7 linked regions of the Macaca fascicularis genome follow. The protein of the gene in region 4 interacts with the protein of the main gene of each other region in a pairwise test. Links are inferred from orthologs where the notes say so. Each region holds a gene or a part of one and is shown on either strand. Other genes may lie near its edges. The genes, in order: LURAP1, NMI, KRT15, TXLNB, CEP57L1, USHBP1 and cancer/testis antigen 55.

Region 1 (3,926 bases), on a different chromosome or scaffold from region 4:
GTAGGGCAGGGGTAACTATCTTCTCATTGTAAATCCTTCTGCAACCACGGGCTGGAATTACTTGAATTACAAGCCTACACAAACCAAAGTTTTCATGACTGTTCATTACCTGTTAAATAAAACCCAAACATCTCAGAACCATCTTCTGTAACCTTGTTATCAAAGTGTGGTCCCTTATTACTTGAAGCGTGGACCAGCAGCATGGCCATGACCTGGGAGCTTATTAGAAATGCAGGATCTTGGCGGGGCCCAGTGGCTCACACCTGTAATCCCAGTACTTTGGGAAGCCGAGACAGGCAGATCACTTGAGATCTGGAGTTCAAGACCAGCCTGGCCAACATGGTGAAACCCCGTCTCTACTAAAAATACAAAAATATTAGCTGGGCGTGGCGGTGCATGCCTGTAATCCCAGCTACTCAGGAGGCAGAGGCAGGAGAATCGCTGGAACCGGGGAAGGCAGTGGTTTGCAGTGAGCCGAGATCGTGCCACTGCACTCCATCCTGGGCAACAGAGCAAGACTCTGTCTCAAAAAAAAAAAAAAAAAAAAAAAGGCAGGATCTCAGGCCCCACCCCGATTTACAAAATCAGAACTGCATTTTAATACGATCCGCAGATAATTCATATGCACAGTCAAGTTTAAGGAGGAGGATCTTGCTTGTAAGCTCAATGTGGACCTCTTCAGCTTCAATACTGGTTGCCCCTTTCTACTCCATTAGTCTGAATTCTAGCCCCTGGGGTGTTGTGTGTGTGTCTGACTAAAATCCAGCCATCGTTTTAGACCCAATTCCTCTGCTCCAGGAAGACTTCCAAGCCTTCTGCAGCTCTCTGTTACCACTGTTCCTTAAACTCCCACATCTCTGACTGAAGCTGCTTAGACTTCATTCTGCAAACATGTATTGGGCGCCTGCTGTGTGCCTGGCTGGATTCAGTGCCAGGGTGGGGCGAAGGCGCTGAGGTCTCCGAGTGCTCTTTCAGGTCCAACTCCAGAACCGCCCAGCCCCACGCAATCCAGGGCCGGAGGTTGTGTGCGCAGCACTCGAATATACCCACGGACAGTGCTGCGCGGCTTTTCTGAGTGTTACGGCACCCTCCTGCCGCCCGCGCGGCTCTCGGGCGGGGACCCACCGGTTTTGCTCCGCTTTAGCAGCGGCGAAGGGAGGACCCCCGCGAGCCGGTCCCTGGCGTCCGGTTGCCCAGCCCTTTTCAGGCTTGGGCCCGCATGGAGGGAACCGTGGAGTCCCAGACGCCTGACCTGCGGGATGTGGAGGGTAAGGTGGGCAGGAAGACCCCTGAAGGGCTGCTCCGTGGGCTGCGAGGCGAGTGTGACCTAGGAACCTCTGGCGCCCTGCTGCTCCCAGGGACGCCTAGCACCGGCCACGACTTGGGGGACAAGATCATGGCGCTGAAGATGGAGCTGGTGAGTGCAGACTCCATGGGCCAAGGGGACGAGTCCCCAGTTTAGGGCCAGGAGGGACGAACTCATGCTCTCAGAGTTAAGCTGGAGAGGAGGTAGTTAAAACTCTCCACCTAACTGCTCAGAATCCCTCCCAGATCAATCCGTAAACGCTGGGGTGGAGATGGAGTGACATCCATTAATTGTCCCCCAAGAGTGAGTGGGGGTGTTGATAGGTCCTGAGGAATTGGGGTGGGAGCCGTGGGTTTTGGAAGTTATTCCTGCCAAATAATTGGGAGGAGAGAGATGAGTACTGGGAAGTACTGAGAACCCAACGCAGCACAAATTCCCCCCGCCCGTATGGGCCACCTATTCCCCCCCAGTCCCCGTTGTAAGGCAACCGGTTTTTTCTCCTTCTGCTAACCGGGAAAGGGTTTAGTTCCTGTGAGGCCCGCAGTGTTCAGCACAGAAAAGATGTGGGTAAAGGGGCCTATCTGCTGTAAACTGTCTGGACCAGGGGCACTGAAAACCTTCTCCATTTCCTCTACATCCCCCAGCCCTACTTAAAATAATGGAAAGTTCCTAGACCCATAGCAGGAACAGAGAGTAACAGCACCATTGGTGCTGATTCCCTCACCTCAGACTCAGTCTCCTCCCATCCAATCTCCCAGGTAAACTGGATATTTGGATCTCATCTGCACATTCTTGGGGAGAAGAGGAAACAGCAACCTTCCCGTTTCTCTGTTGCTGCTGGTCTAGATTCAGAGCCAAAAGGGCAGCCAAGGCCCTGGCATGTTCCTCAGGGCCCTGATTCCGGTGAAGTGGGTGATTTACACCTGCCACTACTTTGCAGCCAGTTCTGGGGAACTGAGGAATTGCTATCAGCTTCCTGGCTTACAACCAGGAGCCCACAGTGAATATGTCAGCTAATAAGTCTTTCTGGACCCCCACTGTGTGCGCAGCCTGTGCCAAGCTGGTCTGTGAAGGAGCAGGGGAAGGAAGTCATGGGGGCTCTTAGACCAGCCAGGGCTCTAATGCCTGAGCTGAGAGACTGGGAAGAGAGTCTGGTGGGTGGAGCAGCCAGGAAAGGCCCTCTGGGAGAAGGACTTGAATGCCAAGTGTGCACTTGGCCTTGAAGGTTGGAGGTGAGTGCCAAATTCTCCAGAGCAAGGCTGTGACTGTCCCCACCTAAGCAGGGGTTTGCCTTTGTCTCGCTGTACAAACTTTAGCTCAAGGCCTAGTAAGAGCCTACCTAGACTGTCTAGTTGCTTTGAAAACTAACTTTCACCCAGCACATGTGCCAGGCAGCTTGCTGAGCACTTTACTTGATACTCTCTTCATCTCCACAGTAACCATGTTAAGTAAGTGATATTTTATAGATGAAGAAACTGAGGCACAGGGTGGGCATGGTGGCTCACGCCTGTAATCCCAGCACTTTGGGAGGCTGAGGCAGGCAGATCACTTGAGCCCAGGAGTTTGAGACCAGCCTGGGCAACAAAGCAAGACTCTGTCTCTGCAAAAATTAGATGGGTGTTGTGGTGCATGCCTGTAGTCCCAGCTACTCTGGAGGCAGAGGCAGGGGGATCACTTGAGCCCAGGAAGAGGAGGTTGCAGTGAGCTGAAATCGCACCACTGCACTCCAGACTGGGTGACAGAGCTCAGAGCTAGACCCTGTCTCAAAAAAAGAGAGGGAAGGAGGGAAGGAAGGGAAGAAGGGAGGAAGGGAGGGAGGGAGGATAAAAGAAAAGAGAAAAGAAAACAGAGGCACAGGGAGTTTAATAACTGCCCAAGATCACACAAAAAGCATGGCCATGATTTGAACCCAGATCATCTGACTGCACTTTGCATGTTTACCTTTGAGACCTGCTTTGTGCCAGATAGTCTAAACACATTTTATGTCATTGAAATGAGAAAACTGGTCATCATTTCTCCCATCTTACAGATAAAACATGCTTGCAGATTCTGAACTCACATAGGGAGTCAGTGGAAGAGCCACGCCTAGTCTCTCTGGCTCTCTTTTCTGCCTTGGTGGAAACGATCTGTAAACTTTAAGGGGCTGCATTTAACTTTTGATTTTGTCTCTCTGTATTCTTGACCCTGCTTGCCTGGGGCCTGAGGCTGCCCGAGAAAGGGCACAAGGGAGGGAGCCTTCTGGGGCCAGAACGAGGAGAGATCCCCATCCTATTTTTCTCCCTCCTCAGGACAGGATGTTATTAATATTAATCTCTTCCTGTGCTCTGCCCTGCCTACTGGGTTGCACCCAGGAAGGACAAGCAGTGGGGCAAGGGGTTTCCCTTGGGGCTAATGAAGGCAGGACTGGTTCAAGCCCTCTAAGGACTGTCCTTCAATTGTTCCTCTCCCAGCTTTCCTTGCACAAAGTGGGGAGGCCTACCCTTGAGGCCAAGGTCAGTCCGCCTCTAGGCCTCATCCCTCCTGCTTTCTTCCTCTACCCACCATTCAAAGGTTGAGTGAACAAGCCAGACTGGGATATGTGGGAATGGGAAACAGTGGCAACCTCTTCTTAGTTCTCCCA
Region 2 (2,995 bases), on a different chromosome or scaffold from region 4:
AGTGGAATTATACAATATTTGTCCGTTTCATGTCTGTCTTATTTTGGTTAGCATAATGTTATCAGGGTCCATCCATGTTGTGGTAGGTATCAGAATTTCATCCTTTTTAAAGGCTGAATAATATTCTCCATGTGTGTGTGTGTATGTGTGTGTGTGTGTATTTTATATATCCATTTTGTTTATCTATTCATCTGTTGGTGGACACTTGGGTTACTTCCACCTTTTGCCTATTGGCCTATTGTGAAAAATACTGCTCTGAGCATTAATGAGCAAGTATCTGCCTGAGTCCCTGCTTTCAGTTATTTCGGGTATATACCCTGAAGTTGAATTGCTGGATCATATCATGTTCTATTTTTAATATTTTGGGGAACTGTCATACTGTTTTCCACAGTGGCTGTACCATTTTACATTCCTACCAGCAATGCCTCAGGGTTGCAATTTCTCCATATCCTCGCCAATAAGGGCCTACACTCTTAATCATCGTACCGTATTGCTGATTGATCCAAGGTAGATGAGTGAGAAGAGTCATAAAAAAGATGGTTGGATATTCCTAAGAACTGTTTCTGTTACACGTTACAGTCTTGATACACATCCTTTCATCCCTCTAGGAGACAAAAATACTGCTAAAAAATAGACTATTCTTTGTGTTGTAGAAAACTGATGAATTTTTATTTCCTTTCAGCTTTTCTAGATGACATTCAGTCCCCTCCCTGCTTTGGTTAACATCATTACTTAAGTTTATTGAATATATGGAAAAAATATTTTTTTAATAGTATTCTAATCATAGTTTTCACTTATAGCTTTTGAGAAACTGGGAAACATTCCAGTCTTGTTAGATGAGTGGGTTACTTTCTGCAAAAAACTATCGTATTTTTTGTAGCTCAAAGTAGATCTGTCTGAGGACATTGCAACCCTTTGTGCATTGATTGACTGCAGTGAATAATTCAAGATGGAATGAAGCTTTTAAACCTCATTATTGTTTGGTCTTGTAGTTTTCAAAATTATGTACTGTGAAGTCTTCAAAGTGGGTTTTAGAATTTCTTAAAAATTAATCTTTTAACTCAGTATTTACTGTAATAGTGCTCTTTTTGAAGGAAGTTTTAACTTTGGTTAAAAATGTTTGTGATATAAAAGAGACAAGTATTGTTTTTGCTTTGCTTTTAGTTGCTGACAAGATTTTGAAAAAGAAAGAATATCCTCTTTATATAAATCAAACCTGCCATAGAGTTACTGTTTCTCCATACACAGAAATACACTTGAGAAAGTATCAGGTAAAGTCATCTCTTTTCTCTCATTTTGAGAACTTACTGCCCAAACCCACCCTACAAAAAATAAAGTTGTTGTGAGTCTGTTACTATATGAATCTTATCAATGAGGGATAGCCAAATGGTTTCTTTACTTCATTTTTGCTTAGTGCAAAATGAGTTTGTCTTTTGAAGGAGTGTTTTAATGCAAAACAGTACTTTAGTATACCATTTAAAAAACTGGAATTACTCAGATAATGGCACAATTTTTATTTTTGTACATGGAGACATAGCTGCATTTCTCTCATGTGTCTACTGTCAGTGAGCATGAGAAAGAATTCCTGCCTACTTCCTCTGAACTCAGTATCTTTATCCCAGACCTGCTGCCTTTTCTCTTCCTTCTCAGGTATCCAATGGTACCACCATCTACCTAGTCCACTGACTTAAAAGCTAGAACTCACTTAACTCTTCAGTTTGCTTCACCTCCAACATTCATTTGGTCACTAAATCTTGCCAGCTCCGCTTCTGACTACCTCTTTACCTGGTCCTTCTGTTCCCAGAGCATCCCACCTTTCCTCTATGTTCCATAATGCCACCAGAGTTCTTTTTCTAAAACTGTCCCCAGAGCTTCCCCCCTTTCCTCTATGTTCCATAATGCCATCAGAGTTCTCTTTCTAAAACTCAGATCTGACTTGGATATTCTCTTGCTTGGAAAATCTTCCTAAGATTTCTTGTGTCTTCTAAGATAAAGTAAAAAATATTAAGCAGATTATGAATGTAAAGTTTTGTAATTCAAAGCTCTCAGAAATCTTTCTATTTATCATTGTTTTTCCTACTTAGATATTTTCAGGAACATCTAAGAGGACAGTGCTTCTGACAGGAATGGAAGGCATTCAAATGGATGAAGAAATTGTGGAGGATTTAATTAACATTCACTTTCAACGGGCAAAGAATGGAGGTGGAGAAGTAGATGTGGTCAAGTGTTCTCTAGATCAACCTCACATAGCATACTTTGAAGAATAGACTTAACAGAATCATGAAAACTATAGCTTTTTAACGCAGATTACTGTAAATGTTTGACAAAAATAAATATGCTTTTCCTTAAAAAAATGAAAACTTTAATTTTTATCATCCATTTATTTTTAGATACAAAACTTATTTCCATGTGTCTGAATCTTCATTGTTTCAAATGGTGCTTGCTGCATGTTTTCAATTACAATAAATGCACTGTAATAAAAGGTTTTGTTTATAGATTATGTATATTGGTGCCATGTCTGCTGAAATCAACCTTAAGTGATTCAGATGTCCCCTGCTAGTGCTGGCTTATCCTGTTATGGTCTTGTGGGCCAATTCAGTTGTGAATGGCAGACCATGCCCACCAATATGCAGACTTGACTCTTAACATTTTCCAAAACAAAGGCAGTTACATTCAGCAGTTTGTGATTCCTGTAAACTCAACTGAAGATTCGAAGGACTCCAAGAGCAACAATTTTCCACTGTGTGTAGTGTTTCACTCCACAACTCTAAAGCTTCTCAGAGCTGAGCATGGTCTTTTTCTTGAATTTTTGTTCACGCAAGTGCCATGTGTCCCTTGATTCCTTCCAAGCCATCCCCTCTCCAAATAGAGCTCGTAAAGGACTAGCTTTTTCTTTCTTTTGCACTTACAATGGAAACAGTTGGTATAAGAGTTTGAAAACCTTGGCATGGAGAGAGAGGTAAATACAAAGTTAGTGACTCATCACTCATCATGC
Region 3 (4,109 bases), on a different chromosome or scaffold from region 4:
GGCAGGAGATCAGGCCCACCTTGCTGAAGAACCAGGCCTCAGCATCCCGGCGGTTCTTCTCCGCCATGGCCTCGTACTGCTCCCTCATCTCTGCCAGCACGCGGGTCAGGTCCACGCCCGGTGCTGCGTCCATCTCCACATTGACCTGGCCGGCCAGCTGGCTGCCGAACTCCTTCATCTCCTGCAGGGTGGGAGGGGCCCATTTAGAGACGGAGAGCAGAAGAGAAACCTGAGTCTGGGGTCCCACATGCCAATCCTGGCTCTGCCCCTAACGCACCCCAACCGATGTTCCCTATTGCACATGAAGAGGTTCGGTCACATGGACCCCTCAACTCTGAGGAGCTCTCTGCTGCTCTAGGTCCTACCAAAGGGAGGACCCCGAGACTGTAGGGCCCTGATGTGAGCTCACAAAGCCAATGAGGAAGTCAGTCATTCGTACTGGCCACCTGGCCTGGCTGTGGGTCTGGGCTACCACAGGTCAGTGCCCCTTCCTCTCCATGAGGACACCTGGTTTTGGGGTTTGGGGGTGTTTCTGAACCACTAAGCCCCAGGCCAACGATGAGGAAGTACCAGCAGCCCCACTCTGCCTCCCACCGACTTAATCTCGCGAAAATCTGGGAGGGCTTCCTGGAGCCGCTGTCTTTCCCTCTGGGCAATTTAAGTGCGTTTTGGGAAGAAGTTCCCCACCTCTCTCAGGTTCAAGGGTGATGGGGGCCAGCTCTCACCTCCTCGTGGTTCTTCTTCAGGTAGGCCAGCTCCTCATTCAGGCCCTCGATCTGCATCTCCAGGTCAGTCTTGGCCAGGGTCAGCTCATCCAGGACTCGGCGCAGGCCGTTGATGTCAGCCTCGACGCTCTGGCGCAGGGCCAGCTCGTTCTCATACCTGAGGAGAGAGAGGGAGGCCAAAGAAGGAAGTGGGAGGGGTCTTGGCTGCCTGAGTCAGACCCAGGAGAAGGCCAAGTAAAGTGGGCAACGCAGGAAGAGGAGAGGGAGGGGGGAGCGCACTTGAGCCTGAAGTCGTCTGCAGCCAGCCTGGCGTTGTCGATCTCCAGGATGACCCGGGAGTTGTCGATGGTGGTGGCCGTGATCTGCAGGAGACAGAGTTGGTGCCTAGAGGACTCCTCTCTCTCCCTTGCTGCTCTCCACTCTGCACCCAAGGCCAGCCCCTCACTGACAATCACCCCTCTGACACCACCAACAAAAATCTGTAGGGCCTCTGGGGTGGGCAGAGTCCAGCCGCATCTTGAGTGTCCACTTCTGGTTTTGTCCCATACCAGCCTCCTTGAGACACCTGAGGAGTTGCCCTCCTTGTCTCCAGGGCACGAAAGACCAAGGAGGCAGTACTGCCTGTGGGAATTGGTTGCCCAGAAGAGTGGTGGAGTGGGGTGTGGTCAGCTCTGACAATAGCCCTCTCAGAGACACTCCACCAGCCCCCCTGTGGACAGCTCATGGTCACTGCCTCCTGCACATCTTGGACACAGCCATGGATCTACAGAACATTCCAGCCAGTAGCAACCTGGAGGGCAGCTAAAGAAGGCCTTTTACAAATGAAGAACCCAGTCTCAGGGAGTAAAAAGGTGAGTGAGTGGGTGACAGAATGTGTAATGAGTTCCCAGGTCTCCTAAGACCCAACAGTACTTTTGGCACAAAAGGTCTCTTTATAGGAAAAGACAAGAGGTTCTAGCATCTGGGACTCATGAGGCCACACTCCAATCCCATTCTTGCCAAAGAGGTGAAGGAATACTTTATGCAGAAGCCTGCAGGGTGCATGAGGTAGGGAAGGCGAGCTGCTCTTTTTTTTAATTATTGGTTTTTTCCATTAGATACAGGTTCTCACTCTGTCACCTAGGCCGGAGTACAGTGGCACAGTCATTAGCTCACTGCAGCCTCTAACTCCTGAACACAAGCAGTCCTATCACCTTGGCCCCCCAAAGCACTGGGATTACAGGTGTGAGCTACTGCCCCTGGCTCTTTATAATTGCCCCCACCTGTGCCCCTGTTGGTCCTAACCAGACTCCCAAGACCCCTCCCTTCCTCCCCCAGCACCACCAAGTTGAGAAGATGTGCACTAGCCTCTGCACCTGGACAGCAGGTGCATTCCAAATTTGCTGAGGTTACACACCAGACAGTCGTTGCCTGGGCAGGAAAGGATTTCCTCGAGTCAGCAGTAACACCGACATTAGAGCCACATACAGGGTACCAGCCACCTGCTCCCCTCTCTTTGACATCTGAGGACTCACCTTGTCCCGGAGCTCTTCAGTGGTCTTGAAGTATTGGCTGTAGTCGCGTTCCGGGCTGGTCGGGGCCTGCTTCTGGTACCAGTCACGGATCTTCACCTCCAGGTCAGCATTGGCCTCTTCTAGGGCACGTACCTTGTCCAGGTAGGAGGCCAGGCGGTCATTGAGGTTCTGCATGGTAATTTTCTCATTGCCAGAGAGGAGACCACCATCGCCACCACCAAAGCCACCACCAAAACCCCCACCAATGCCCCCTCCAAAGCCTCCACCAAAAACACTGCCAGCCCCTCCACCAAAGCCACAGACCCTCATGCCACCCCCGTAGCCCCCTCCTGACCCTGAAGACACAAACCTAGCAGAAGAAGCTGAGATATTTCGGCTTCCACCTCCCCCATAGAGACTACCCCCACCAAAGCCACCTCCCCCAGCCAGAAGGGAACCCCCTCGGGTAGAGCCACCCCCAAAAGTGGAGGAAGAAGTTTGCAGAAATGTGGTGGTCATCGTCAGGTAGCTGGAGCCCGTGAGTTCTCAGCAAACCCAAGAGACGCTGGCAGGAGGTACCAGGCCAGGCTGCACTCTGGAGCTCCTTATATTCCCCTCAGAGGGTGCTGTGGGACCTCGTCTCCTCCCCCAAAGCAAAGCCAACTCCTTCTGCCTTCCTGACAAACACAGCTGCCTGCACACCTTGAGTGGCTCGTGTGAAGTTTTTCTCTTCTATTTTTTTTAATGCAACAAAAGAGATGATTCAGAATTAATAGTGTTTTCCCCCGGGGCACGGTTTTAACACTTGGATTACAGGTTCATCTCTCCATGCCAGAAGAGAGCAGCAGGGAGTGAACTCTCATCACAGCACAGCTACCAAAGCCTCTAGCTGAACTGAGAGCAGCTCAAGCCACTGTGCCCTCAGCTGGACTTCTCCACTGCCCCGAGCCCTGAGCCTCTGCCCAAGGGGACAGCTCCGTGTTCTCGGTTTGGGAGTCCACTTCTTGATCATTACACTGTGTTATCCAACTCAAAACCCTGTGAGTGAGTGAGAGACTGCAGGGCTCAGGGGGAGTGGAGGCCTCTGGGGATGGGAATGCAGGACCCCCAGTTGGAGGACAGGAGCCAGGGACCTTGAGTAGTGTTCCAGCTGAGGTGACCAGAGGAGCCAGCATCCATCCCTTCCCTGGTGCTGCAGATGGACTCCCCTCCTCCCACCTCTACTCCCCTCCTGCCAGCCTCCAGCCTATGTCCCTGGCACCCTCACAAAAGCCCAGCAGGCTCGGGGCTGACAAGGGGATGACTGATGATCCCGACACCTGCCAACTGCATAGCGCTGAACCTTTGCTCGCTTCTGGGATGTGTTGGGGCAGACCTCCGCTGATAAGGCTGGGGCAAGTTCCAAGCAGCATGTTGCTGCTTAGCAGGGCCAGATTAGCCCCCATCTGTCCTGTCAAGTGCTGGCTGGGGAGGGGCCGCTGCAGAAGGCTCTATGTGCCTGAGTGCTGTGGAAGGGAAGAGATGGGAGATTGGCGGGCAGGCTGGAAGACACTGGAGATCTTGAAGACCAAGGCATCACTTCACAAAGATGGGGAGTTGAACACTCAGGAGAGCCCTTTTCTCTGCCACCGGCTCAGGGACACCTTTCCAGGGACAACTGACACCTGTGGGCAGTGCCTCTTGGAGGTGTGGCCCGGCCCTCCGGACCTGGCCCCAGGGCTTACAGAAACTCAGGAAGAGGATTCCTAGCCCAGGTTGCAGCATGGTGAAGTGGACAGGGCTCCGGAGTCCCTCAGGCCTGGGGTTTAAATCCTGGCTCTATCAATTACCATGGTAAGACTGTGAGGCCCGGGTTCAAATCCTGACTCTACCAATTACCACGGTAAGACTG
Region 4 (3,500 bases):
ATTGAATCAACAGGTAAGGATGTGACTTAGGGTCACAAAGCTCTTTGTGAGTCTGGACCTGATTCTAAATGAACTTTGCTCTTTTTATATTTATTATAATTTAAAATGTCACATCCCTCCACCGAAAATTCAGCTCCTTTTCAAACATAACCATTTGTACTATTATCAGGTTATAATTGTATCATAAGTATGAATATATTGACTAGACAGATGGGATTAAAGCTAAGGGAGAAACTTCCTCACCTCTTCAATCATGTCCAACAGAGCTTTGTTACAGTTCTCAAATCGGGCTTTCCATGTGGCTGTGTCCTTTTCCAGCTTCTTCATTTTCTTAGTTGTCTACAGAAATTAGAGTGTGTGAGTGTTTATCTTGAAGAGTTAATACATCAAGGAAGCTATTAGCTCCATATGTGAGACCAGGAGAAGTCCTTTTGTTACCAGCTGCTGAAGCAAACAAATGTTCAATGTCAAGAATGAAGACTGCAGCAGAGCCATGATTTATTTCTGAGCCAGCTAGGGCAGTGGTGAGCAAACTTATTTGCACCCGAGCTAATTCAGGAAACGGGAAATGACTTAGGGGCACATGGTTTTGTCACTGCTTTTTCTTTCATTTAAAAGAAGAATATCTTTATGGAGTCCCATGAACAAGCCTGTAATTTAGGATGTTTACGGTATTGAACAGAAGACTATCACAGTGGGAAAGCTGGCATGGCCTTTTTAGCCATTAAAATGTTGATAATATCTGGGCACATCTGAGAAGTAGCTGCACAAAAGCAGCCTCTGTATTTTCTGGGTCTTTACATTTATAGAGTGAGGTAGAGTTCACAAAAATCCTTGAAATAGTCCCACAAGGAAGGTTCTATTTTCAGCCCCGATTTTATAACTGTGGAAACCACAGTTCAGAGAGGTAGAGTCATATTTAGGTGAGTTAACAGAAGAGTGGGGCTGCCATTCTTTTATTTCATTTAATGAAGCATATGGAATGTCTGGTGGTCACCAGGCCCTGGGCTAGGTGCGAGGAAGTGAGAAGTGAATACAATGCAGCCCGTCTTTTTTGAACCTGAGGCTACTCACGTTCTTGTTTGTAGGATCTCTTCTTTGCTTGGATGAAGTGGAGAACAAGGCATGTATTCAGATGCAGCTTTCCTGGATGAAACATAGCTGGGCACTCGTGGCATGGTGCCAAGCTGCCTGAGGCTGGGTACCCATGGAGGCCAGAGGCTGGGCCCAAGACTGTCAGCCCCTGGCTCTGTAGAGAAGCTAGGTTTTTAATTTTGATCATATTTTAGTTTAGTAGTTTGTAAACTTCTTTTTTTGTTGTTTTCTTGTTTTTTTGTTTTGTTTTGTTGTTGTTTGTTTTTTACTCTGTCGCCAGGCTGGAGTGCAGTGGCGCGATCTCGGCTCACTGCAAACTCTGCCTCCCGAGTTCAAGCGATTCTCTTGCCTCCACCTCCTGAGTAGCTGGGATTACAGGCGCCTGCCACCACACCTGGCTAATTTTTTGTATTTTCAGTAGAAACAGGGTTTCACCATGTTGGCCAGGCGGTCTCGAACTCCTGACCTCAAGTGATCCACCAGCCTTGGCCTCCCAAAATGCCGGGATTGCAGGCGTGAGCCACTGCGCCCAGCCAGTTATTTGTAAACTTTAAGGTCATCGATCTTTTTAAGAATGTGGTGAAAGCTGTGGGACCACACTTCACAAAAATGTGCATATGTGCATCTTTCTTTGCTAATTTCTAGGGAGTTCTCAGGTCAACTACTAACCCCAGATTAAGAACTCCTGATTTAATATTTATTCCACTCTTAAAAGTACATAATTTTGAAGTAAAAACATCTTTTCCTGTTCTAATTTATACCAGTCTTAAAATGCTAGAATTAAAAAAAAAAATTTAAGAAAATAGATAGTTCTATTCTGCAATGGGAGAACTGTAACATTTAACAAGTGTCAATCTTCTTCAGGTTGCTCATTTAATTGTAAAATATATCATAGTATTTTAAAAATATATTTTAAGAGGATGTTTTCTACACTTCAAAACCATTAATGCCAATCCCTGTTCAGAAACACAGTTCTGATGCTGATTTTGTATTGGGAAGACACTGAACAAGCTTTAAACATTACATTAAATAATAATACTGGCACCTCATATTTGAAAAATAATTGTAAAAAGTTTAAATCCCTTCCAAAATACATTAATTTAAGTTCACAATCTTGTGAGTTAGGCAGGGGAAAGTGGTATCTGCATAGATTAAAAAAAAAAAAAAAATTAGAGGCCAGGAGTGGTGGCTCATGCCTGTAATCCCAGCACTTTGAGAGGCCGCGGTGGGCGGATCACATGAGGTGAAGTGTTCGAGACCAGCCTGACCAACATGGTGAAACCCCATCTTTACTAAAACTATAAAATTAACCAGACATGGTGGTGCATGCCTGTAATCCCAGCTACTTGGGAGGCTGAGGCAGGAGAATCGCTTGAACCCGGGAGGCAGAGGTTGCAGTGAGCCGAGATCGCGCCATTGCACTCTAGCCTGGGCAACAAAAGCAAAATTCCATCTCAAAAAAAAGTAAATTAGATTCAGGAAGTTAAGTGAATTGTCTAACACCACTGGAGAATTGAATTCAGGCTTTCATCTTCTCATTCAAGGCTCTGTCAGTTAAATCATATTATATAAGTTACGTTTTCTTCTAAGAAGGTTCTTGTAAGATGGCATTTCCTATTCTAACATTCTTTTGTATATTTGTATAAAGGTTTTTTTTGTTTTGTTTTGTTTCGAGACAGAGTCTTGCTCTGTTGCCTAGGCTGGAGTGCAGTGGCATGATCTCGCTCACTGCAACCTCCGCCTCTTGGGTTCAAGTGATTCTCCTGCCTCACCCTCCTGAGTAGCTGGGATTACAGGCACGTGCCCCCATGCCCGGCTAATTTTTGTGTTTTTAGTAGAGACGGGGTTCACCATCTTGGCCAGGCTGGTCTCAAACTCCTGACCTTGTGATCCGCCCGCCTTGGGCTCCCAAAGTGCTGGAATTGTAGGCATGAGCCACTGCGCCAGGCCAAATTTTTTTTTTTTTTTTTTAATTCTTAGAAGGTTATATTTTGACTTTAGTATATACAACAAAATGTTAAATTGCTAGCTCTGTTTTTTTTTTTTTTTTTTAAGTTATCCATGGGTTAGAAAAAGAACTATTCTTTCTCAGAGTGAAAATGTAACCTAGAATTTTTGTACTCCTGCTAAGATTAATACACTAGATACTTACCAATTAAAAAATACAACCCAAACCTCATTCCTACTTATAAACATTTCATTACTTTGTGAAATGCACCAAAATATCCTAGTGAGAGAAAAAGGAAACCAAAGGAAATTTGCCTGTCAAAATAGAAAATGTCAATATTTTGTTGGTGATAAGCAATACTCACTTTGTCCATTTCCTGTTTGAAAGTGGCAAACACCTCATTGCTTTTTGTTAGCGTGCTCTGGAATTCTTCAAACCTTCCTGAGTAGAGAGTGAG
Region 5 (3,395 bases), about 30 Mb from region 4:
ACATCTTAACAGAAGTATAGAGTTTTCCTCACCATCCCTGTCCTACTCACTATAGCTAGCTGAGTATAGGTCCCCAGGGAATGGAACACAACACAGCCTGTTTTGGGAAAGAGGAAATCATGCTTTAAGGACTGGGGCACTGCTTAGGAGCCAGGTTTATGTCTGGTAGTGAATAAGAGACCTGCTGACATAAGGGGTATCATTAAAGCATTAGAGGAGAGAAGGAAGAGGAAAAAGAATGCTAAAAGGGTAATTGGAGGGCTGCTAAGGCAAGTTTAGTTTACCTCACAATTTCCCCAAAGCAATTTCTGAATACATAACTGAACCTATTTGTTCACTTAAAAAATTTTAACTTGGAGAGTTACGTAGGAGGTCCATGTTATTCCAGTGGGACAGATGGCTCTATTCTGTCATAGGCCTAAGTGATTACCATCCATCTTTTCACTAAATCCCATATACAGACCTCAAATTTGGAAAGTCGTACAGAGATACAACACTGAATCCACGTTTTATCTTTTTATTAAAATCTCTTAGTAAAGCCTTCTTACACTGTCTTGATGCTTCTTCAGTTTGGAGATTTGTTCTCCTTTAATTTCCATTTTCTTGACTAAACACTCTAGTTCACATTCTATGTTGTCACAGACTGAATGGCTTTCAGTTTCCTTCATTTGTTTCAGTAGTTCTTGGTGCTCCCTATGAAAGAATAGCAAATATTAAGCACTACTATAGTTTATTGCATATATGTCTTTGCCATAATTAAGCAATTTTCTGTTCAATCATAAATTTTAGTCAGACTTAAATATTAACCTTTAAAAACAGCGTCTTTCTTTAAGGTTGTTTAATTAAATCTACAGTAACTATAACCAGGCTCCTGTGATTTGAAATTAAATACCTTTACAAATATCTTAAGACTGCTAAGCAACTTTAAAAAATATGTGAATTCCTGATGCTCATAGCTCAATGTAGTAAAATGTGTGATGTCTTTAACAGAGGTATTAAAGGGCTTTCTTCCTCATTATTGACATAGGATCTTTGGAAGAATTCCAGCTGTGGAAGTATTTGCCTGAAAAATTTCTGGATTTGGAGTTAGCCTACTGAAATGCTGTTAACAGAAACAGCTGTATCTTCTACAGATGTCTTAGGTCAACTAGCTGGTCAGCCAAATCACATAGTTCTGGAATTTCTATTGAATATATATTTAAGCAAGTGGGCACAATATAATGTATCCCATATGGAAATCTTCCTTACTATAGATGCTTCAAAATTTGTAATGCAGACCAGCCAGAGTCTAAAACAAGGAATTACATTCCTACTTGTCTAATTAAATAATTCATTCAGCTAAAAGATTCTAAAACACAAAAGGAGAGCTTTTCTTATAAACGCTTTTGTGAGTTTTAATCTAAGGTCATCAGATCCTATATGTTAGAATGACAGTAGTAGCTATCAGTCCAGATCTTGGGAATACAGAAATACCTTAGAATGAAAAAGTAGGAGTTATAAAGAACTGAAATTTTAAATAGTAACAAATACAATGAAAAATAGTGACAACAAATCTTTCCAAATGGCTAAGTAAGGCCTTTAAGAATTTATAAGTGGTATTGTTCTTAAGACTAAGAAGAAAAAGTGATATGGTACTTCTCCTGATAAAGAATAAAAATTGCTGGCCAGGCACGATGGCTCACGCTTGTAATCCCAGCACTTTGGGAGGCTGAGGCAGGAGGACTGCCTGAAACCATGAGTTCAAGACTAGCCTGGGCAACATAGCAAGACACTGTCTCTTAAAAAAAAAAAATATAAATACTTACATGCTCATTTGGTCCAGCTCATCTTGCATTGCCATCAAAAGTTCAGATAAATTGTCACAAATGGAAATGGACTTTTCTGAGTCACGAGGAATAGCCTTACACCAGGAAGTTGTTCTAGAAGGCCTGGGGAGACATCTAGTCTCAGCCACGTTAAAAGGTTTCTGAAGGATATGTGGGCCACGATGTTGCCTCCTCTGCAAAAGGTTTTGCATACTTGCATTCACAGAACAGTTTGCACTGGTGGACTTATGGGAAAAGAAACAACTGAGAATAATTTTAAATGACTGAAGATATTTTAATAGCACTTACAATGAAACAGGAGTTTTTTTGAACAACTATCTTCATTTTATCCCCTCTCACCTTTTCAGCCACAAAAGGCAGTGCTCCAAACTTTGAACAAATTTGCCAAGGTGGTCCTCTCTTTATACATTTAGTTTTCTAGAGATTGACAAGAAAAAAACATAAATAAGAAATTATTTTAAAAGTTATTTATGATATGAAGAACTCTCAAAACTCAACAGAAAACAATGCAACTGGAAAATGGGCAAAAAGACATGGACAGAAATTTCACTGACAAAGACATATGTATGGCAAACATATGAAAAGATATTTAACATCATTAATTATGGAAATGAAAGTTAAAATTAGTGAAATATCACTGCACATCCATCAGAATGGCCAAAATAAAAAATAGTGACAATACCAAATGTTGGCAAGCATGCAGAGAAAATAAAACCACTCACATATTGTTGGTGGGAATACAAAATGGTACAGCCATTTTGGAAGACAGTTTGGCAGTTTCTTATAAAACTAAAAATGTACTTATTACATCACCCAACAATTGCTCTCTTAGGCATTTATCCTAGAAAAATGAAAACTTATGTTCACATAAAAACATGTATACAAATGTTCATAGCAGCTTTATCTGTAATAGCTAAAAAATTGGAAACAATCGAAATATCCTTTTTTTTTTTTGAGACAGGGTCTCATTCTGTCACCCATACTGGAGTGCAATGGTACAATCTTGGCTTACTGCAACCTCTGTCTCCCAGGCTCAAGCGATTATCCTGCCTTAATCTCCCAAGTAGCTGGGATTACAGGTGTGTGCCACTACTGCCCGGCTAATTTTTGTATTTTTAGTAGAGACGAGGTTTCACCATATTGGCCAGGCTGGTCTTGAACTCCTGACCTCAAATGATGCACTCGCCTTGGCCTCCCAAACTGTTGGGATTACAGGCATGAGCCACCATGCCGGACTCCAGATATCCTTTAACAGATGAACAGTTAAATTGTGGTACATCTGTAATGCGGAATATCATGCAGAAATAAAAAGGATGTATTGATACATACAACAACTTGGATGGACCTCAAGGGAAAAAAGCCAATCTCAAAAAGTTACATACTGTATAATTCCATTTATATAATAATATTGAAATAATAAAATATACAGATGGTGAACAGATTAGAGGTTGCCAATGTTCAGGGAAGGGGATGTGTAGCTATAGAGGGATTGCATGAAGGAGTCTTTTAGTGGTGGAAGAGTTCTGTATCTTGATTGTTGTGATAGTGACATGAATCTACGCATATGAT
Region 6 (4,141 bases), on a different chromosome or scaffold from region 4:
GGGCTGGTGGGGTGGATGACTCATGCCTGTAATCCCAACACTTTGGGAGGGTGAGGCAGGTGGATCACCTGAGTTCAGGAGTTTAAGAGCAGCCTGGCCAACATGGCAAAAACCCATCTCTAGCCGGGTGCAGTGGCTCACGCCTGTAATCCCAGCACTTTGGGAGGCCAAGGCCGGCGGATTACTTGAGGTCAGGAGTTCAAGACCAGCCTGGCCAACATGGTAAAACCCTGTCTCTACTAAAAACACAAAAATTAACCAGGCGTTGTGGTGGGCACTTGTAATCCCAGCTACTCGGCAGGCTGAGGCAGGAGAATTGCTTGAACCCAGGAGGTGGAGGATGCAATGAGATCGCACCGCTGCACTCCAACCTGGGCGACAGAGCGAGACTCCATCTCAAAAAAAAAAAAAAAAAAAAAAAAAAGAAGGTTGGGCGTGGTGGCTCACGCCTGTAATCCCAGCACTTTGGGAGGCCAAGGCAGGTGGATCACGAGGTCAGAAGATCGAGACCATCGTAGCTAACACGGCGAAACCCCGTCTCTACTAAAAATACAAAAAAATTAGGTGGGCGTGGTGGCGGGTGCCTGTAGTCCCAGCTACTCGGGAAGCTGAGGCAGGAGAATGGTATGAACCCGGGAGGCAAAGGTTGCAGTGAGCCAATATCGCACCACTGCACTCCAGCCTGGGCGACAGAGCGAGAAGAGAACTGTCAGCCCACAGTGAAGAGACAGGCAGAGAAGAAGAGTTCACAGGGGAGCCAAATAAAAGCCATATCAGCTCAGGGGAACATTCTAGCTCTTTTTTTTTTCTTTCTTTTTGAGACAGGGTGTTGCCTTGTTACCCAGACTGGAGTGCAGTGGCGTGACCATGGCTCACTGCAGCCTCAACTTCCAGGTGTTAAGCAATCCTCCCACCTCAGCCTCCCGAGTAGCTGGGACTACAGGCATATGACACCACTCCTGGCTAATTTTTATATTTTATGTAGAGACGGGGGTCTTGCCATGTTGCCCAGGCTTGTCTTAAACTCTTGGGCTCAAGCGATCTGCCTTCCTCAGCTTCCCAGAGTCCTGGGATTACAGGCGTGAGCCATGGTGCTCGGCCCATTCTAGATCTTGAGAAATAAAATCCAAGCGTCAGAGCTAGAAGGGCCATGGGCTTGGAGGCTGAGACGAGGAGGGGCTGAAACCTTGGGAGTCAGGTATGTGTGCCCCGCTAGGGCTGCAGGAAGCTGCTGTCCTCAAAAAGGAAACAACACAATAACAAGTCACATGACCAGGGGAGTGGGTTCCTGTTTCCTGGTCCCTCCCAGGCCAGGCTTGGCCAGCCCAGGCCTGACCAGGCAGTGGCCAGAGTGACCCCAAGACGGCGTCCAGGGACTCAGGCCTCTGATCAAGTTACCCCCAGAAGATCAGAGAGGTAGAGAGCTGAACCCGTCATTTAGGAGGGCCGCGGAGGAGAGGGAATTATTGAGATTGCATTTCCAGGCTCAAAGAGAGGAGGGAAGGGGACAAAGACGTAGTGAAGGTAAAGAAGGCAGAGAAGAAGGGGGAGATCCAGACAACCTTGTTAGGTAGTGAGCTGCCTGTCCAGGAGGCATTCAAATGTGCCCAATCAACATTGATCACAAAATCCCTTCCTGAGGGGTAGTCAATGTCCCATTTCACAGCAGAGGAAATTGAGGTTGTCCTTTGTCCAGGACAACAAAGGCAAGAGGTCATGGCAGGCTGTGGTTTTAGGGGTTGACGAAGGAGAAGCATTCAGAGAGCACTGGCTTCTGGACAGCAATGAGTGCCCGGGCCACGCGGCCCCGAAGCCGGCGAGGGAGGCATGCTCCACCCGTAAGTGTCGCCCTCTCCCCTCCACACCCAGCTCCTGGGGACCCCAAGGTCCCATCCTGCCTGGCTCAGAGCGGGGCCACGGGGGTCATTTGCAGGGTGAACTGGACCCCGTGGCTGAGAGTTCAGAGGAGATTGAGGCAGCCAGTGGGAGCTCCAAGCTCAGCTTTGCCCCACCTCCTGTGAGCTCCGGGCTGGAACAGCTGGGCCCCATGGAGGAGGTCAGTGGCCAAGGCCTAGGAAGCAGGTAAGACCCCCTTGGTCTGTGCCCTTCACTCCAGTCCACATGCATCTTTGCCATCTGCAGATCTGCTGATGTGCCCTCTCTGCTCACACACCTACCATAGCTCCCTGTTGCCTTCAGCCTGACTTTCTTTTCTTTTTTTTGAGTCTTGCTCTGTCACCCAGGCTGCAGTGCAGTGGCACAATCTCCACTCACAGCAATCTCTGCCTCCTGGGTTCAAGAGGGAGCCTCAGCTTCCCGAGTAGCTGGGATTACAGGTGTGTGCCACCACACCCAGCTAATTTTTGTATTTTTAGTGAGACAGGGTCTTGCCACGTTAGCCAGGCTGGTCTTGAACTCCTGACCTCAGGTGATCCCCCCACTTCGGCCTCCGAAAGTGCTGGGATTACAAGTGTGAGTCGCTGCCCCAGAAGACCCCATTTCCAGAATCTTCTGTCTCTCACCTTCAGGACTTTCCCACTGCCCGTCACAGTCCAACTTACTATTCACTCTGCTTCGTAGCCCCAGGTCTCCCCTCCAACTTCTCCACCACCTCTGTCCAGCCTCTTCCCTGAATTCCCAGCCTCCCAGTCTCTCCCTGGGATGCAAGTCCCAGAACACGCAGCTCTTGCCAACTCTGCCCCGCTCACACCTCCCGAAGACCATGAAGTTTAAGCCCTAAGAATTCCCTGCCCTGGGCTGAGCGTTGTGGCCCATGCCTGTTATCGCAGAACTTTGGGAGGCCAAGTCGGGCGAATCACCTGAGGTCAGGAGTTTGACATCAGCCTGGCCAACATGGTGAAACCCTGTCTCTACTAAAAATACAAAAATTAGCCGGGCGTGGTGGTGGGCACCTGTAATCCCAGCTACTTGGGGGACTGAGGCAGGAGAATCACTTGAACCCAGGAGGTGGAGGTTGCAGTCAGCTGAGATCGCACCACTGCACTCCAGCCTGGGCAACAGAGTGAGACTCTGTCTCAAAAAATAAAAAAGAATTCCCTGCCCAGCATGGAGCGACTCAAGTGCCTGAGTTGGTGTCCACAGGACCGACAAGAAGACGGATGGGGGCTCTGGCAGGGGACTGGCCTCAGCCCCCGAGGTGCCCCACAAACCTGCAGTGGAAGCCTACCAGGCCCCAGAAGCAGCCCTACAGTACAAGGAGACTGTGCCCCCTGGGATTGGGGCCCCCGATGTGTTTCAGACCCTCCAGCACGCTCTGAGCTCCCTGGAGGCAGCGGCTGCAGCCTGGCGCCACCGGCCCCCCAGCCATCCTGGGCCAATGGAGTTGGAAGACACAAGCAAAGGGGGACCAGGTCCCCTTGGGAAGCAGGAAGGGGCAGGGAGCAGCCAGCGAGAGGCAGCTCGCCTGGCTGAGAGGAATGCCTGGCTCCGGCTGGCCCTGAGTAGCCGAGAGGATGAGCTGGTCCGCACGCAGGCCTCCCTGGAGGCCATCCGAGCTGAGAAGGAGACGCTGCAGAAAGAGGTGAGTGGGGCCATCCTGAGTCCTATGTGGCTCTCTGTCTGAGGGAGGAGGCAGGCCCGATGTAGGCAATATTCATTCATCTGTTCATTCCAAAAACCTTTTGAGGCTGGGTGTGGTGGCTCACGCCTATAATCCCAGCACTTTGGGAGATGGAGGCAGGAGGATCCTTTGAGGCCAGGAGTTCAAGACCAGCCTGGGCAACACAGCAAGACCCCTACCTCTGCAAAAAATAAAAAATAAAAATCAGCCAGGTTGGCCAGGCACGGTGGCTCACACCTGTAATCCCAGCACTTTGGGAGGCTGAGGTGGGCGTATCACAAAGTCAGGAGTTCAAGACCAGCTTGGCCAACATGGTGAAACCCCATCTCTACTAAAAATAAAAATAAATAAATAAATAAAAGCCAGGTGTGGTGGCATATGCCTGTAATTCCAGCTACTCAGGAGGCTGAGGCAGGAGAATCACTTGAACCCGGGTGATGGAGGTGGCAGTGAGCTGAGATCACATCAATGTACTCCAGTCTGGAGAACAGAGTGAGACTCTGTCTAAAAAAAAAAAAAAAAAAAAAAAAAAAAATCAGCCAGGTTGGCTGGGTGCGGTGG
Region 7 (4,131 bases), on a different chromosome or scaffold from region 4:
CACAGCACATTAAAAAAATCATTCACCATGTTCTAGAGGGATTCAGCCCTGGGAAGCAAGGAATTTTCTACATACACAAATCAATAAATGTGCTATATCACATGAACAGAATAAAGGACAAAAGTCATAGGATCATTCCAATTTAAGCAGGATAAGAATTTGATCAAATTCCACACTCCTTCGTGATTAAAAACTCCACAAATTAGATATAGGAGGAGTGCACCTCAACACAATAAAGGTCATACATGATAAGCCCACAGGTAACAACATACTGAATGGGGAAATGTTCCAGGCTTTTCCTCTAAGACCGGGAACAGGACAGAAATGCCCACTTTTGCCCATTCTATCACACATACTTCTGGAAGTGCTAGCCAGAAAAATTAGGCAAGAAGAAACGAAAGGCATCCAAATTCAAAAGGAAGAATTTAGATTGACCCTGTTTGCAGACGGGAAGCTCTTATATATAAATAACCCTGAAAACATCACCAAAAAGCTACTAGGTCTAATAAACAAATTCAGGAAAGTGGCACGACACACAAACAACATACAAGAATCAGTAGCATTTCTATATAACAATAGGGAACTATCTGAGAAAGATATCAAGAAACAATCCCATTTACAACACCTTCAAAAAAATTAAAATAGGAATAAATTTAACCAAGGAGGTGAAGGATTGCAACACTGAAAACTATAAACCATTGACAAAGGAAATTGAAGGAGGCAGGAATGAATGAAAATACATCATATGTTCATGGACAGGAAGAATAAATATTGTTAAATGTCCGTAACCTAAAGCAATCTACAGATTCAATGCAACTCCTATGAAAATACAAATGACATTCTTCATGGAATTATAATTCCATGAAGCTCTTTTTAAAATATTTACATCGCACATGGTTTGACATAGAAATTCCACTGCTATGAATGCGCACTACAGAAAATGTTTTTTTACCTGATAAGGGAAGTTGCAGGATTATAAAGAGTTCAATAATTATTATTGTTACTCATATTGTTCAAAGATTAGAATAATAGATAAGTAATTTTTATGTTTTACAGCACAAATTACTACAACTATTAGAACAGAAGAACCCACAGATTCAGAGGGGTGGGGCTTCAAATTGCGGTCTACATCCCCTCTACGGATCACAGCAGAGATGTTGGATTAATACAAGAAAAGAAAGATGCAGAAAGAAAGCCCACTGGGATAAGACACAATTTCCAAACTCATGCACATCTCACCTTGATTGCTCTGAATCCATAAAGTGGTTTATCATCTTCCACAACCACATTTACTTTTTGTCCAACTTTTAGAGGCACGTTGCCACTCACAACATCACTACTGAAGAAGATCGACTCATCAATCATGCCATAATCACCACAGAAACTTGTGACAACTCCCTGCACAGTTTTCAACTGGGTGTCACCTACAAGATAAAGAAACTAGGTCATATTATTGGCCTCAAATGCAAACACCTACTACAAATAAGTCTTACACTCACCATCTGCATAACCCTGGACAGAGAAGTTTTATAACATCTCTGACCTCGTTTTCATCTGTCAATCCACAACAATCACAATTTCGACTAATAGGGTTGTTGTAGGTTTTTAAAATATTTTTAAAAATTTATCAAAATTTAAATGTTAAAATTTTAAATTATTTTTTAATTTTTTGAGCAGAGTCTGGCTTTGTCACCAAGGCTGCAGTGCAGTGGCGCAATCTGGGCTAGCAGCAACCTCCGCCTCCCAGGTTCAAGCGGTTCTCATGTCTCAGCCTCCCAAGCAACTGGGACTACAGGTGTGTGCCGCCACACCCAGCTAATTTTTGAATTGTTAGTAGAGATGGGGTTTAGCCATGTTGCCCAGTCTGGTCTCCACCTCCTGGCCTCAAGTGATCCACCTACCTGGAACTCCCAAAGAGCTGGGATTACAGGTGTGAGCCACCGAGCCCAGCTTGTGAATATTAATATTAACATACACACCAACTGTCGAGAGCTGTGAGTGCCTTGCACAAGAGTGTGTAAATGTTACCTGTTAGCACCATGTCTACATATGAGTCAAGCTTCTGCTCCTATTATGTTCCTTCATCATTATCACCAATTATGATGAGTAGCACTTTCTATAGATACTTAACTGTCTCAGCAGACTAAAAGATATCTGGAGATTGAAGGCTAGCCCAAAACGGCATCTGAATGGTTTTCTTTATTTTTTTTTCCTTCTTCTTTTCTTTCTTTTTTTGTTCTGCACAAGCCTAGCTGATCAGCAATACTTAGGGATCAAACCTCAGCAGTTGCCCCACAGGAGTTCTGTGCCTTCGGGATCGGATAAGTATAAGGTATCAACTTGGCTTCAAATTACATTCCCATTTGGGATACAAGCCTAAATTCACTCGCAAATTAGGGAGTTTCTCGCCTACTGGAAATATAAATAGGCATGTGCTGCACAACCACGTGGGGGGAAAGCACAGGAGGTACAGCCCCCAAGGTCTTCTCTGTCAACACCTTTCCCGCTTTAGATGGACAGGAGAGTTTGGGAGTTGGTTCTCAGGGACTTGTTGAGGACTAGGGTTGCCTCCCCATGCACACACAAGATGGAGCCGCCGTCACATGCTGTACCCGCCCGAGTTACCACAGCCTCATTCCAGGGGTGAGGAGAACCCCTACTGGGAGGCTTCTGGGGTGGGGGAAAAGTGGACACACAGAGGAATACCTTGTGGGAGCCCCTGCTGCTGTGGGCCCTGTTGCTCTGCAGGGTCGGCCGTTCTCCCGTAGAAGGCCAAAGCAAGTCTCAGAAGCCTGAGCATCGTCCCAGTTGTCACCACCAGCCTGGGCACCGCTTGTGACAGAGGAAGCACGAAGTCTCCTCAGTAAGGGAAGCCCTCAGGTCACGGCGTCTCCTCAGGGACTCACCTCCTGCTTCTCCTCCTCAGCCTCTGTGGCATGGGACCCAGCCGATAGTGAGCCCCCCTTGGGAGAGTCAGGGACATCGCAGCCTCCAAAGGAGCTCCCAGGTTCCCCTCTGACTTCTCCCTCTGAGCATGCGCTCATCAGGGCTCGCCTCTACCACTGTCCAGCCAATGGGCGTGCAGTGGGTGGGCGGGCAGGTTCCTGTGGCTATTAAAAGGTGATGGGTGGGAACATCGTCGCTTCTCCCACCAAGGCTGAGGGTGCCATTAGGATGGCCTGGGGGAAATGGCTTGGGAGCTTGGGTTCTCCATATACTAAGGAGGTACAGGGCTCTTCTCTTGGGTTCCCTGGGAGGATGGGTGCCTAAAACACCGTCTGTGCAGCCAAACATCCTTCTCTTGCCCCTGTATTCGTGGTGCTTAGTATAAGGAGTCACCACTCAGTGGGCAGTCAATAGTTAGTCCTCACCAGGGATCAATTTTGTGGAGAAAAGGCATCATTTGGGTAGGCAATGTTTTAGTGATGGCAAGTACGTGTCTTTTGTGCTAGGACTCCCATTTTGAGTCCAGTGATAATTTATAATAGAATCCTTTTATGATCATTGCTACCATGAACTCATCGCTTACCTGGTTATACTTACATTACTCTGCTATACACATTACCCTTATTCATTCATTCAGCAAAACTCGTAGGGCACTAACTGTGAGCCAGACACTGTTCTGTGTTCTTAAAATTTGTTAGTGAATGAAAGAGTCAAGAATCTTCACCCCGTGAGGGTAGTTTTTTCACAGGATGACAAAAGGGTGACACTAAGCATCACATAATAAAATATATGATATGTTGGAAGGCAATAAATGCCGAGGAAAAATATAGCAGGACAAGGGAGATCCACAGTGCTGGGCATGGGGGGTTGGATTGCACTTTACAATAGCATGGTCAGAGTAGCCCTCATTGGAAAGCAATAGTTGAGAAAGATGTTGGAGTTAGCCAGGCAGCTATTTTGGTGGGAGCCGTTCAGATGGAGGGTGCAGTTTGTGCAAAGACCATACAGCAAGACTGTGCCTGATGTACTCAAGGAAAAGCCAAGTGATTAGAGCAGAGGCAGTGAATAGCTAGAAGAGTAGGAAGTATGGTAAAAGAGGTAATAGAGGTTCAGGCTGCATGTGGGATAGTGGGACACTGGAAGTCCTTTCACTTTTATTGTCCATGATGTGTAAAGTCCCTGAAG

Evidence for each region.
Region 1: the proteins of TXLNB (region 4) and LURAP1 interact in binary tests that used the Homo sapiens proteins (3 or more experiments, as listed by UniProt). The two-hybrid records come from large-scale screens. The link is inferred for Macaca fascicularis from reciprocal best matches to the Homo sapiens genes TXLNB and LURAP1.
Region 2: the proteins of TXLNB (region 4) and NMI interact in binary tests that used the Homo sapiens proteins (3 or more experiments, as listed by UniProt). The two-hybrid records come from large-scale screens. The link is inferred for Macaca fascicularis from reciprocal best matches to the Homo sapiens genes TXLNB and NMI.
Region 3: the proteins of TXLNB (region 4) and KRT15 interact in binary tests that used the Homo sapiens proteins (3 or more experiments, as listed by UniProt). The two-hybrid records come from large-scale screens. The link is inferred for Macaca fascicularis from reciprocal best matches to the Homo sapiens genes TXLNB and KRT15.
Region 5: the proteins of TXLNB (region 4) and CEP57L1 interact in binary tests that used the Homo sapiens proteins (3 or more experiments, as listed by UniProt). The two-hybrid records come from large-scale screens. The link is inferred for Macaca fascicularis from reciprocal best matches to the Homo sapiens genes TXLNB and CEP57L1.
Region 6: the proteins of TXLNB (region 4) and USHBP1 interact in binary tests that used the Homo sapiens proteins (3 or more experiments, as listed by UniProt). The two-hybrid records come from large-scale screens. The link is inferred for Macaca fascicularis from reciprocal best matches to the Homo sapiens genes TXLNB and USHBP1.
Region 7: the proteins of TXLNB (region 4) and cancer/testis antigen 55 interact in binary tests that used the Homo sapiens proteins (3 or more experiments, as listed by UniProt). The two-hybrid records come from large-scale screens. The link is inferred for Macaca fascicularis from reciprocal best matches to the Homo sapiens genes TXLNB and CT55.

The regions. Positions count from the first base shown.
Region 1 is NC_088375.1:188,482,537-188,486,462, reverse strand, and holds the start of LURAP1 (leucine rich adaptor protein 1), read left to right. Parts: upstream 1-1,126; 5' UTR 1,127-1,219; coding exon 1,220-1,417; intron 1,418-3,926. UniProt on the Homo sapiens protein: Acts as an activator of the canonical NF-kappa-B pathway and drive the production of pro-inflammatory cytokines. Promotes the antigen (Ag)-presenting and priming function of dendritic cells via the canonical NF-kappa-B pathway.
Region 2 is NC_088386.1:46,827,282-46,830,276, reverse strand, and holds the end of NMI (N-myc-interactor), read left to right. Parts: intron 1-1,164; coding exon 1,165-1,271; intron 1,272-2,084; coding exon 2,085-2,267; 3' UTR 2,268-2,495; downstream 2,496-2,995. UniProt on the Homo sapiens protein: Acts as a signaling pathway regulator involved in innate immune system response.
Region 3 is NC_088390.1:62,557,296-62,561,404, forward strand, and holds the start of KRT15 (keratin, type I cytoskeletal 15), read right to left. Parts: upstream 2,801-4,109; 5' UTR 2,738-2,800; coding exon 2,240-2,737; intron 1,088-2,239; coding exon 1,005-1,087; intron 883-1,004; coding exon 726-882; intron 182-725; coding exon 20-181; intron 1-19.
Region 4 is NC_088378.1:43,294,908-43,298,407, forward strand, and holds part of TXLNB (beta-taxilin), read right to left. Parts: coding exon 3,408-3,500; intron 340-3,407; coding exon 244-339; intron 1-243. UniProt on the Homo sapiens protein: Promotes motor nerve regeneration. May be involved in intracellular vesicle traffic.
Region 5 is NC_088378.1:13,248,794-13,252,188, reverse strand, and holds part of CEP57L1 (centrosomal protein CEP57L1), read right to left. Parts: exon of another isoform or gene 2,931-3,395; intron 2,244-2,930; coding exon 2,166-2,243; intron 2,070-2,165; exon of another isoform or gene 2,051-2,069; coding exon 1,806-2,050; intron 694-1,805; coding exon 549-693; intron 1-548. UniProt on the Homo sapiens protein: Centrosomal protein which may be required for microtubule attachment to centrosomes.
Region 6 is NC_088393.1:17,583,620-17,587,760, reverse strand, and holds the start of USHBP1 (harmonin-binding protein USHBP1), read left to right. Parts: upstream 1-1,341; 5' UTR 1,342-1,784; coding exon 1,785-1,838; intron 1,839-1,933; coding exon 1,934-2,082; intron 2,083-2,383; exon of another isoform or gene 2,384-3,102; coding exon 3,103-3,541; intron 3,542-4,141.
Region 7 is NC_088395.1:141,581,834-141,585,964, reverse strand, and holds the start of cancer/testis antigen 55, read right to left. Parts: upstream 2,801-4,131; coding exon 2,707-2,800; intron 1,425-2,706; coding exon 1,240-1,424; intron 1-1,239. UniProt on the Homo sapiens protein: Plays a role in spermatogenesis, possibly acting in the regulation of the autophagy pathway.